Macaca fascicularis: one gene and its partners. The protein of the gene in region 3 purifies or fractionates together with the protein of the main gene of each other region. This does not show direct contact. Links are inferred from orthologs where the notes say so. Each region holds a gene or a part of one and is shown on either strand. Other genes may lie near its edges. The genes, in order: ABHD10, ACOT9 and KCMF1.

The links.
Region 1: the proteins of KCMF1 (region 3) and ABHD10 purify together in Homo sapiens (affinity purification with mass spectrometry; 3 studies listed by BioGRID and IntAct, counting the BioPlex papers as one, with this or other methods). This does not show direct contact. The link is inferred for Macaca fascicularis from reciprocal best matches to the Homo sapiens genes KCMF1 and ABHD10.
Region 2: the proteins of KCMF1 (region 3) and ACOT9 purify together in Homo sapiens (affinity purification with mass spectrometry; 3 studies listed by BioGRID and IntAct, with this or other methods). This does not show direct contact. The link is inferred for Macaca fascicularis from reciprocal best matches to the Homo sapiens genes KCMF1 and ACOT9.

What each region holds. Positions count from the first base shown.
Region 1 is NC_088376.1:171,098,084-171,101,110, forward strand, and holds the end of ABHD10 (palmitoyl-protein thioesterase ABHD10, mitochondrial), read right to left. Parts: intron 2,610-3,027; coding exon 2,265-2,609; 3' UTR 625-2,264; downstream 1-624. UniProt on the Homo sapiens protein: Acts as an acyl-protein thioesterase that hydrolyzes fatty acids from acylated residues in proteins.
Region 2 is NC_088395.1:23,661,401-23,665,058, forward strand, and holds part of ACOT9 (acyl-coenzyme A thioesterase 9, mitochondrial), read right to left. Parts: intron 2,933-3,658; coding exon 2,835-2,932; intron 948-2,834; coding exon 921-947; intron 1-920. UniProt on the Homo sapiens protein: Mitochondrial acyl-CoA thioesterase. Catalyzes the hydrolysis of acyl-CoAs into free fatty acids and coenzyme A (CoA), regulating their respective intracellular levels. Regulates both mitochondrial lipid and amino acid metabolism.
Region 3 is NC_088387.1:36,552,624-36,556,281, forward strand, and holds part of KCMF1 (E3 ubiquitin-protein ligase KCMF1), read right to left. Parts: intron 2,728-3,658; coding exon 2,553-2,727; intron 1-2,552. UniProt on the Homo sapiens protein: E3 ubiquitin-protein ligase which accepts ubiquitin from an E2 ubiquitin-conjugating enzyme and then transfers it to targeted substrates, promoting their degradation by the proteasome.

The DNA of each region.
Region 1 (3,027 bases), on a different chromosome or scaffold from region 3:
GCAAGTAATTCTTTCAGCTTTCTATCTCCATACTTTATAATAAACTCAGTGTTGCCCAGAGCTTTTTTCTTCTCCTCCTCCAGAGACGCCTCTATAGTGGCTGTTTGGAGAATGGTGTACTGTTTAGATTTGTATCTGGAAATGCCTCTAATCTCAACAGAGGTAGATGAGATTGAGACTCAGTGAAGTTAATTGCTCAGTCACAGAGCTAGTAAATGGTGAGCCAGAATTAAAAACCAAGTTCGTCTCTGCCCTTAACCATTATGCTATACTGTCTCTACATATGTATTATGAATCTCTAATCATATTATTTTGTACAGAAAACCATCATTGGCAAGGGCCCTTGCCTTTGTGTTCCTAACAAGCCTCACACCTAGCAACGTCTAGGCAAAGTAAGTCCTTGAATAGCCAGTGCCATCTTCTATCAACCCACTCCAACACCAGAGACAGTTGCGCTCATGTATGATTTCTTTGTGGTTTGTAATTTTTGTCCAGTATAAAAGATAACCCATGGATTGTAGTTTAATTGCCCCATAGGACATAAACCAGTTTTGCATCTGTGGAGAGGCCCTCAACTCATCCCCAAATGTGAAGATTTGCTAGGAAGACTCATAAGACTCCACATACAGTTCTGCTCACGGCCATGATTTATTACAGTTAAAGGATACAAAGCAAAATCAGCAAAGGAAAAAAGACACATGGGGTGAAGTCAGGGGAAACTAAGTGCAAGCTTCCAAGAATCCTCTGCCAGTGGAATCACAGATGAGCTTAATTCTCCCAGCAACCAGTTGTAACAGCACTTGTGCAACACCGTCAACCAGAAAAGCTTGTTAGAGACTGAGTGCCTGCGGTTTTTAATGGGAGCTGGTCACAAAGGGTAGTCTCTGCCTGGCACATACCAAAATTCCAGACTCCCAGAAGGAAAGCTATATTGTTTTCAGGAGAAACTATATTGTTTTACAGTTTAGATATAGTAAGCTACTTTGATCAGTTGTGGGAATGGTGGAAGCCCCCTGAACTCCAAGTTCCCAGATGCCAATCAAGGGCCAACCTTGTAAAGCAGGTCTTAAGCATAAGTAGTCAGGTCAGCTTCATTAACACTTTTTTCTGCTCAGCAATTTTCTCTCAACATTTTTTCTTCAATGCCCTTAGTTTCTTGAACTGCACTTTGAACCAGCTTTACTATCTGCTGGTTTCCTCATTAATGAGTTGAGTAAGTCTTCGACACATGCTCATTTTATATACATGTATATATATGAGTCATGTTGTCAACTTAAAAGGTTTGACAGATAATAACCTAATCAAGCTAAATAAAATCCAGTCAAAATTAATAAATAAAAAACATTAACTCAATAATATCAAGGCTTAATCTCCATCTCACTTTAGTTACTTAGGAAAGAAAAAAAAAGCAACCTTTACACTAGCATTTCACACTTTCTTAGTGACTTCAGAAAGTCTTCTGATTTAGGTGGCAACCACGTGCCTAGTTGTACTTAGGGCAATATTAATAAAATAATGAATGTTTCTATAAGTAATAACATATAAAGATCAACTTCCTCTTTAATTTTACCAATCAGAATATTAAAATGCTACATCATTGTTTTAGATGAAATTCCCCATTTAAATATATTACACATAAGCCAAAATTTAGAAACAGCTCCTCGTATCACTGTACAATTTTGGGCCTTTAAAAAAAGTAAAAGCTTAATTTTAAGTTTGAATATAATGTGCAGTTTATGTAACATATATAATATATAATTATACTTTATACATTATATAAAGTATTATCCTTATTGTGAACTTTATTATGCTTCTGAAATTTCTCCATCATTTCAAATTTACTTCAATAAAAATTTCCCTGTATTTTGTGAATTGCATTTTCAAAGCAGAAGTAATGTTACAAATTTCTGTCTATAATAAACAAAATATTTACGCTTTATTAATAATCCTATTTAGAAAAGGATGCAATTAAGAGCTGGAATAGCTAACATAAGCATAAGAAAGGTAAACTTTTCTTGAATTAAAAAAAGGAAATACTTTAATGAAAAAAAATCAAGGACAGAAGGAACGAGAAAATTTTCTAAACAGCAGCTGGTCCTTCTTCACAATATGCATTACTTGTGCAAATACATCATTAAATAATACTCATCTGATATTTACAAAATAGAGGTAAAAGAAAAACCTAAAGTATCAGGATCTTTCATTTCTTATCCTCTTCCAATCTTCTGGATACATTAGTTTACATACCAACTAAACACGTGATACTAGTTAACTATAGTTGAGAGCTTATCAATTAAGTCATCAATAGTGTAAACAAGAAGTTGAATGTCTGCTTTTTCCTTCATTTGGTGATCACTATGTTTTCGGAGGATGACATCCACATCTGTGCTGAGTACTCGATCAGCAACCTGCATTGATGTATGCCAAGGTACAATGTCATCCTTCATGCCATGGAGCAATCTTATAGGGCAGTTCACAGGAATTGGGCTATGTAACAAGCAGTGATGTTCAGCTTCTTTAATGAAACTGTACTGAACATTATAAACTCCTTCTTCAGAGTATTTTGATGGCATGCTCCACACACCTTTCATCTCTACTTCCTTTTTTAGCTATTGGAAACAGAAAGAAAAACAAAAGTATTTGTGATTTTAAGTAACATTAACATATGCAATAGTTTCAAGTAATCTAAAGAAAGCAGTTCTTGAATAAGAGGATAGAGGTAACAAAAGCATAACAATATTATCAATAATTACTATACGCCAGGTACTGTGATGGGTATTTTATACATATTATTCCATAAGATTCTGATAATAATTCTGTTATTATTCTATTTTTACAAAAGAGGGTAATATGGTTTAGATAAATGAAATATTGTGCCCAACAGTTCAGGGCTAGGCTACTAACTATGGCTAAGACTCAAACTTAAATTTAAATTTATCTAACTTTATCATACACTATCTTAAATCAGATGTTGCTTTACCCCAACTGAAAAGAAAAATGAAGGGTGAGAAAGGCACTACAATTTCT
Region 2 (3,658 bases), on a different chromosome or scaffold from region 3:
CACAAATGAATACCTTTATGCCAATCACAGGGTTTATATAAACAAACAGAAAAGGATAACTTCAACTATTCATTTAATGGGGCTGTATCAGTGTTAGCCAATAAGAACCATTATGATGGAGATATGAACAGGATTCCCACCTATCTTCTTTTTTGGTTTTTTTTGTTTTTTTTTTTGAGACAGAGTCTCGCTCTGTCACTCAGGCTGGAGTTCAGTGGCACAATCTCGGCTCACTGCAACCTCCACCTCCCGGGTTCAGGCGATTCTCCTGCCTCAGTCACCCCAGTAGCTGGGATTACAGGTGCTGTGCCACCACACCCGGCTAATTTTTGTAGTTTTGTTTTGTTTGAGACGGAGTTTCACTCTTGTTGCCCAGCCTGGAGTGCAATAGCATGATCTCAGCTCACTGCAACCTCTGCCTCGTGGGTTCAAGTGATTCTCCTGCCTCAGCCTCCCAATTAGCTGGGATTATAGGCAGACACCACCATGCCCAGCTAATTTTGTATTTTTAGTAGAGACGGCGTTTCACTATGTTGGTCAGGCTGGTCTTGAACTCCTGACTTCAGGTGATCCACCTGCCTTGGCCTCCCAAAGTGCTGGGATTACAGGTGTGAGCCACCGTGCCTGGCCCCCATCTATCTTCTTATACGCAGTATTAGATCAAATTACTTAGTTCAGAGACTAATGTACTAATGTACTAATATCCAAATCTGAGTCTCATTATAATTAATTTCTCATATATTTATAGTCTGCTAGTTGTTAGAAAAGTTTAAGCCAGAAAAATGAAGCAAAGACTTACATCAAGCTAAGGCAAAGAATGCAATTTTAGTTAATGCCACTGCCCAAAAGTGCAAGCGTATATTAGTGCTTACAAAATTTAAGCTCTTAAAAGAAAAGCTGATACTAATTACCACACACACCATGATTCACATGTATAGGTGAACATGCTATATGAATAAAGGGAAAATCAATTAGAGAACCAGCAATAACTGGAAACTAAAAGATAAATCTATAGTATTTCAAATACTGTGTTGAGTTCATGTGTTTTTCCTAGCACTTCAAAATACATATTCCAGTTATAGGAAATTAACTATAGCAATCCTCAGTCCTTCAATAACTAAGTGATCAAAACCAAATATGATTAATATTAACATGCGGGCCGGGCGCAGTGGCTCACGCCTGTAATCCCAGCACTTTGGGAGGCCGAGGCGGGCGGATCACAAGGTCAGGAGATCGAGACCACAGTGAAACCTCGTCTCTACTAAAAATACAAAAAATTAGCCGGGCGCGGTTGTGGGCGCCTGTAGTCCCAGCTACTCGGGAGGCTGAGGCAGGAGAATGGCGTGAACCCGGGAGGCGGAGCTTGCAGTGAGCCGAGATCTCGCCACTGCACTCCAGCCTGGGCGACAGAGCGAGACTCCGTCTCAAAAAAAAAAAAAAAAAAAAAAAAAAAATATTAACATGCATTTTAACTTTCATGAAAAAATGGTTTTCTATCAAACAATTATGGATACACCATAAGTTTGGTGTATAATTACAATTAAATGTTACAGAACTGCAAACAACAACCATTAGTAATTTAGTCTTATTTCTGATTTTTTCCTCCTAAGTGCCTTGAATAAAAGAATGGACAGGGCCGAAGCGTGTGAATCATGAGGTCAGGAGTTCAAGACCAGCCTGGCCAAGATGGTGAAACCCCGACTCTACTAAAAATACAAAAATTAGCCTGGCGTGGTGGGCACCTGTAATCCCACCTACTCGGGAGGCTAAGGCAGAGAACTGCTTGAACCTGGGAGGCGGAGGCTGCAGTGAGCCAAGATCACGCCACTGCACTCCAGCCTGGGCGACAGAGTAAGACTTCATCTCAAAAAAAAAAAAAAAAAAAAAAGAACAGGCCAGGCACGGTGGCTCACATCTGATATCCCAGCACTTTGGGAGGCCAAGACAGGCGGATCACTTGAGGCCAGGAGTTTGAGACCAGCCTGGCCAACATGGCGAAACTCCGTCTCTCCTAAAAAATACAAAAATTAGTTGGGCGTGGTGTAGCATGCCTGTAATCCCAGCTACTCGGGAGGCTGAGGCAAGAGAATCGCTTGAATCTGGGTGACAGAGGTTGCAGTGAGCCGAGATCCTGCCACTGCACTGCAGCCTGGGTGACAGAGCAAGACTCCATCTCAAAAAAAAAAAAAAAGAATGGATAGAAAGTACCTCAAACAGGATATGGACTACTGATGCTCACTGACATAAAATAATTACTGCTAGCTTAGTCAGTGTAAGAAGAGAGGCAAGTACTGAGGGCCAAGAAGGAAAAAATTTAAAATTTTATTTACATATATATTTATATACACACATAATATAATTTGGACCCTTTAAAGAAGCCAAAATTTTAATTATAGTGAATACTCCTAGTTTAATAAAGACAATCCACAGTTTGCATATCATATTGGTAATTGAAATTAACTTTAATTACGCATGGACTAACAGGATCCCTCGAACATAACTATGGACTAGGAGTGTTTACTCGGTACAACTAATGGGCCCATCTCTTTTTTCCCATGCCTTCAGAACCTACACACAGGAAGTGGAAATCGCTTAACTAAAAGAGCTCAGTCCTCAAGGCTCCCAGGAACAATAGTTCAAAATCTGAATGTGACTTCTACCTGAAGCTATTAATATTATGCAGCTATCCTGGTCATTTCGTCAATGAAATGTTTATGAAAGATCTACCTTTAATATGCCTCATTTGCTCTAAACTACATTTCTATATACCTTTCAAATAAAAGTAAAACAAGGTTTTTCACCACATAGACATAAAACATAGACACCATGCTTGCCTTCATGAATGTGGAAGATTCCCTGTTTCTTGGGGTTCTGGGGTCCTTGAGTCAGTCCTCTTCCAGGAGTAAGCTGCCCCTTGCCCAAGGCACAAAGCCTATAAAAACAAGATAAAACACAGAGTAGGTTCCACGGCTTTTTCCCTGGCAATCTCAAAGACCTACCCTCCTCCCAGAGTATCTGGCCATACCACCCTTAGTATATATTGTCTTGCAGGAGTCTGTAGTTGTTTCACAAGTGTATGTATGTTTTCATGAGGCTATTCCATAAATCATTTCTCCCACTAAACATTTCTTGAGAGCAGAGACCAATTAGGTAATTATCTACAAAATAAATAAAAGATGGCAACTAGGTTTAATGGATTTATTATTGGTCTATTTTATTAGTTTCAGAAGTCCATAATCGATTTGGTAAACAACTGAGCAAACTCATTATGAACAATTTATTCTGTTCTTTATTATCGCACCATATCTCCTCAATAAATAAGATAAACCCAATTATAAAGCAAACTTTGAACACTGAATTAGCCCTTTCCAGATGCAAAGAAAGTGTTTATTTAACTTATGCAGAAATTTTCTAGAGTCCCAACACAATAAAATAAAAGCTATCTACTGGCCACGGTGGCACAGGCCTGTAATCCCAGCACTTTGGGAGGCTGAGGCAGGTAGACAGGTTGAGCCCAGGAGTTCAAGACCAGCCTCGGCAACATGGCAAAACCCCATCTCTACAAAAAATACAAAAATTAGCCAGGTGTGGTGGCATGCACCTGTGGTCCCAGCTACTCAAGAGGCTCAGGTGGGAGGATCACTTGAACCCAGGAGGT
Region 3 (3,658 bases):
TTTCTGATAGTGGCCCTTGAACACTCGCCTCTGCCTTCTCCCTCTAGTACCTTTTGGTACTGCTGTTTCAGAGTACCACTGCAGTAGGTACCACTAGCAGTGCTCAGCAAGGCTCCTGAGAACCTGTTGCATCTGACTGTACAGCGTACTTAGTGGCCTGTTATGATCCAGACTGTCTTGTGTCCATAAGGCTGTACTCATTAAGAGAGGTGTAAACCTTTGTCCCTGCACCCTCATCTACGTAAGGTGCAGTGAAATGCCTTCTTCCAAGTGGAGGGTCTACCTCGCTTATAGGGAACCGATGATTGCCTTGCATACACTCTTAGGCCAGCAAAAACTCTTTATCATTAAAACTCATTAACAGTTTGTTTTCTTGTTCAGTTGCTTTATCCCAGGCTTTTGATAGCACTCTTACACCACTCTTTCATGGAATATACAGTCTATCACTAAAATAAACTAATTTTCACTGACAGAAAAAAAACAAGTGAAAATTTCTCAAATTTGAATTCTGCTCTCAGAAACTACTTTAATTTTTAGTGTCTGCCACCAAAATAGCAGGTAAATATTCCCTTTGGATGAAGAAATATTTTTTAAATCCCCCAAACTCAGTTTGTTAGGCTTGTTTTTGTTGTTGCACACCCAAATGTTCAAAGCACATTTGGAATTAAAATTTTATATGGTATATCTAACTTTTTAATAACATGATAGGTGTAAAATTATTCTTAGGTTTTTTTTTTCTTTTTTAAATTTTTATTTTAGATTTGGAGGTACATGTGAAGGTCTGTTACACAGTTAAACACATCACGGGGGTTTGTCGTATATATTATTACATCACGCAGTACCCAATTAAGTCCAGTACCTAACAGTTATCTTTCTGCTCCTCTCTCTCTTCCCACCCTTCCCCAGTGTCTGCTGTCTCCTCCTTTGTGTTCCTAAGTTGTCATTTAGCTCTGATGTTCTCAGTTTCTATTACAGATTTACACTTACCAGTGTTTCAGGTGTTCTGCAGGGCACCTCATGGCTTCCAGGTAGGTGCACACTTCACCACATGGACACATTTCAGAATTGTTGCTTTAAATGTGTGCACACGTCCCACAGTCTTACCACTTGTCTGCTTGGTGTGTCTTGCAGATTGTCAGGCTACAGTGATTTCTTATATTTTATTCTGACCCTGTGTTCTGCTACCAACTTCCCAGGTTTGTCATGTACTAGACCCAGTGACATGGCCAGGTTCAAAAACTGTGTATTTTTGTTTTTGTTTTTTTTTTAAGATTTTCCCCAAGCTATTAAACATGTACCTTTCAGTATGTTCTACAACAATATAGTTCTCAAATCAAGATCAGGACATTAAGTCTTACGTTCCTTTCTTCCATGAGAAGAGCTTAATTTTTTAGTCTTGTCAATTAGCTATAGATAACAGTTCTGAAATGTGTCCATGTGGTGGAATGTATGTGTACCTGGAAGCCATGAGGCGCCCTGCACAACACCTGAGATAGGCATAAATCTGTGATAGAATTTTACAGATAACATGTTCTTAAAAATGTTAGCTATGTCTTATAAAACCTTAATTTCAAATGTGCTTTGGACATTTGTTATGTGTACTTATGGAGGTTTAACCATGAAATTTTGGAGGTATTCAAACTGAAATCTTTTATGATTTCCTTGGGCTTCAATAGAGGCCACAAATACAACATAAAACCATTTTTTATCATCTTATGTCTCTAGAACAGGAGTCTCCCACTCCCTTTACCTGCAGGAGACATGTTCCAAGACCCCCAGTGAATGGCTGAAATGGGCATCTGGATAACACAGAACCCTATATGTTTTTTCCTATATATACTTATCTGTTGTGCTCAAGTTTAATTTATAAATTAGGCATAGTACAAGATTCACAACAAAATAGAGTAAATCTAAAAATATACCATGAAAGTTATGTGATGTGGTCTCTCTCCCTCTCAAAGTATCTTACTGTCCTGTACTCACCTATTTTTTGACTGTAGTTGGTTATGGGTAACTGAAACCCAGGAAAGCAAAACCACATATGAGAGGGGGACTACTGGACTTAAGTGATACCAGAAGAGTATGAATTACTTTATGTTAAGTATCTGCTTTGAACACATTCTACACTTTTAAAGTATTTGGCAATTTTGTGAAGGAACATGGCTTATGATCAGAGAGGTGAGGCTACAAAAATCTCACAATTTTTTTTTTTTTTTGAGACAGGGTCTCACTCCATCACCTAGGCTAGAGTGCAGTGGTGCGAGCTCGGCTCCCTGGAACCTCCACCTCCCAGGCTTGAGTGATTCTCATGCCTCAGCCTCCTGAGTAGCTGTGATTACCGGCGCCCACCACCACATCTGGCTGATTTTTGTATTTTTAGTAGAGATGGAGTTTGGCCATGTTGGCCAGGTTGGTCTTGAATTCCTGGCCTCAAGTGATCCACCCGCTCCAGCCTCCCAGAGTGTGAGCCACCGCACCTGGCATCACAAAAAGTTTTAAAAGGAGCTCCTCCTTCCCCTGCCATTTCCCTTATTAATGTGAAACTAACTTACCAGCTATAGGATCCATGGCTTCCCTATTGCTTGGAGAATATGAACTTTGAGAAGAAGAAAGTCCACCAGTAGAACTGCTAGTAAAGTGCATGTTTGATCTACGAGCACGAGGACCTCCTAATCCCCGGCCAGGGTGAAACATTCTACGTACATGTCGAACACCACTCGATTCATCATAACCCAAAAGTTAAGAAAAAAATGAAAATATTTCACAGAAAGAAAAAAAAAATCACTTGAGCCCTTGCTAAAGAGATATAAAGACTTCCTGAATTGTAAGCATTTAAAAACAGCACATTTAACTTAAAAGTGCAAATGTCCCAACTCTATCTATGAGGGAGGGCTATTAACCCTAAAAAAACACTCAAATATAAGGCAACATGTGAGTGTGTGTGTGTGTATTGGCTGTGTGAGGTAAGAAAGCTTCTCTATATAGCTCATGAAATCTCAAATACCACCTATAATGAAAAAGGAACAATATTGAATTTATATTCAGCAGATCAAAGATTCCTTTTGGATTATCAGTTTTAATCTGTCTTCAAGCTTTTTTCCAATGCTGCTGCTAAGCAGAAAACAGATTTGCATTTCTTGTGTAAGACACACAGACAGATTAACATTACATTTATCACGAAGTCAAATTCCCAGCAGCCTCAACCATCTTACATAGCTGAGTTTGAGTCAAACTGAAAAAGGTCCTGAGTCGCAAATAGCTGTCAAAACTCATGAAGACAACCCTACGTTTCCACAAAGGCAAATAAGAGGTGGGGGAGGCCAGATCATATAGAAGAGATTTTTCCTTTAAAGCACCAAACAGACCAGCTTTATAATGCAGATTCATTTTTTTGCTGGCTTCTCAGTTTTTCAGCTGATGGTTCTGGAGTTATTTAACTACCAGATGGGCAGCTCCAGGAGGCCTTCAGGTGTCACTGTACATGCAGTGTTCCATCATATTAATAAGGATGGTTTGGGTTTTAGAGAAAGTGATACGATCATATTTATATATTTGATAATTTATATATTATGATTTTATATATATATGTATTTTGAGACAGGGTCTCACTTTGTTGCCAGGCTGAAGTGCAGTGGTACAACCATAGCTTACTGCAGCC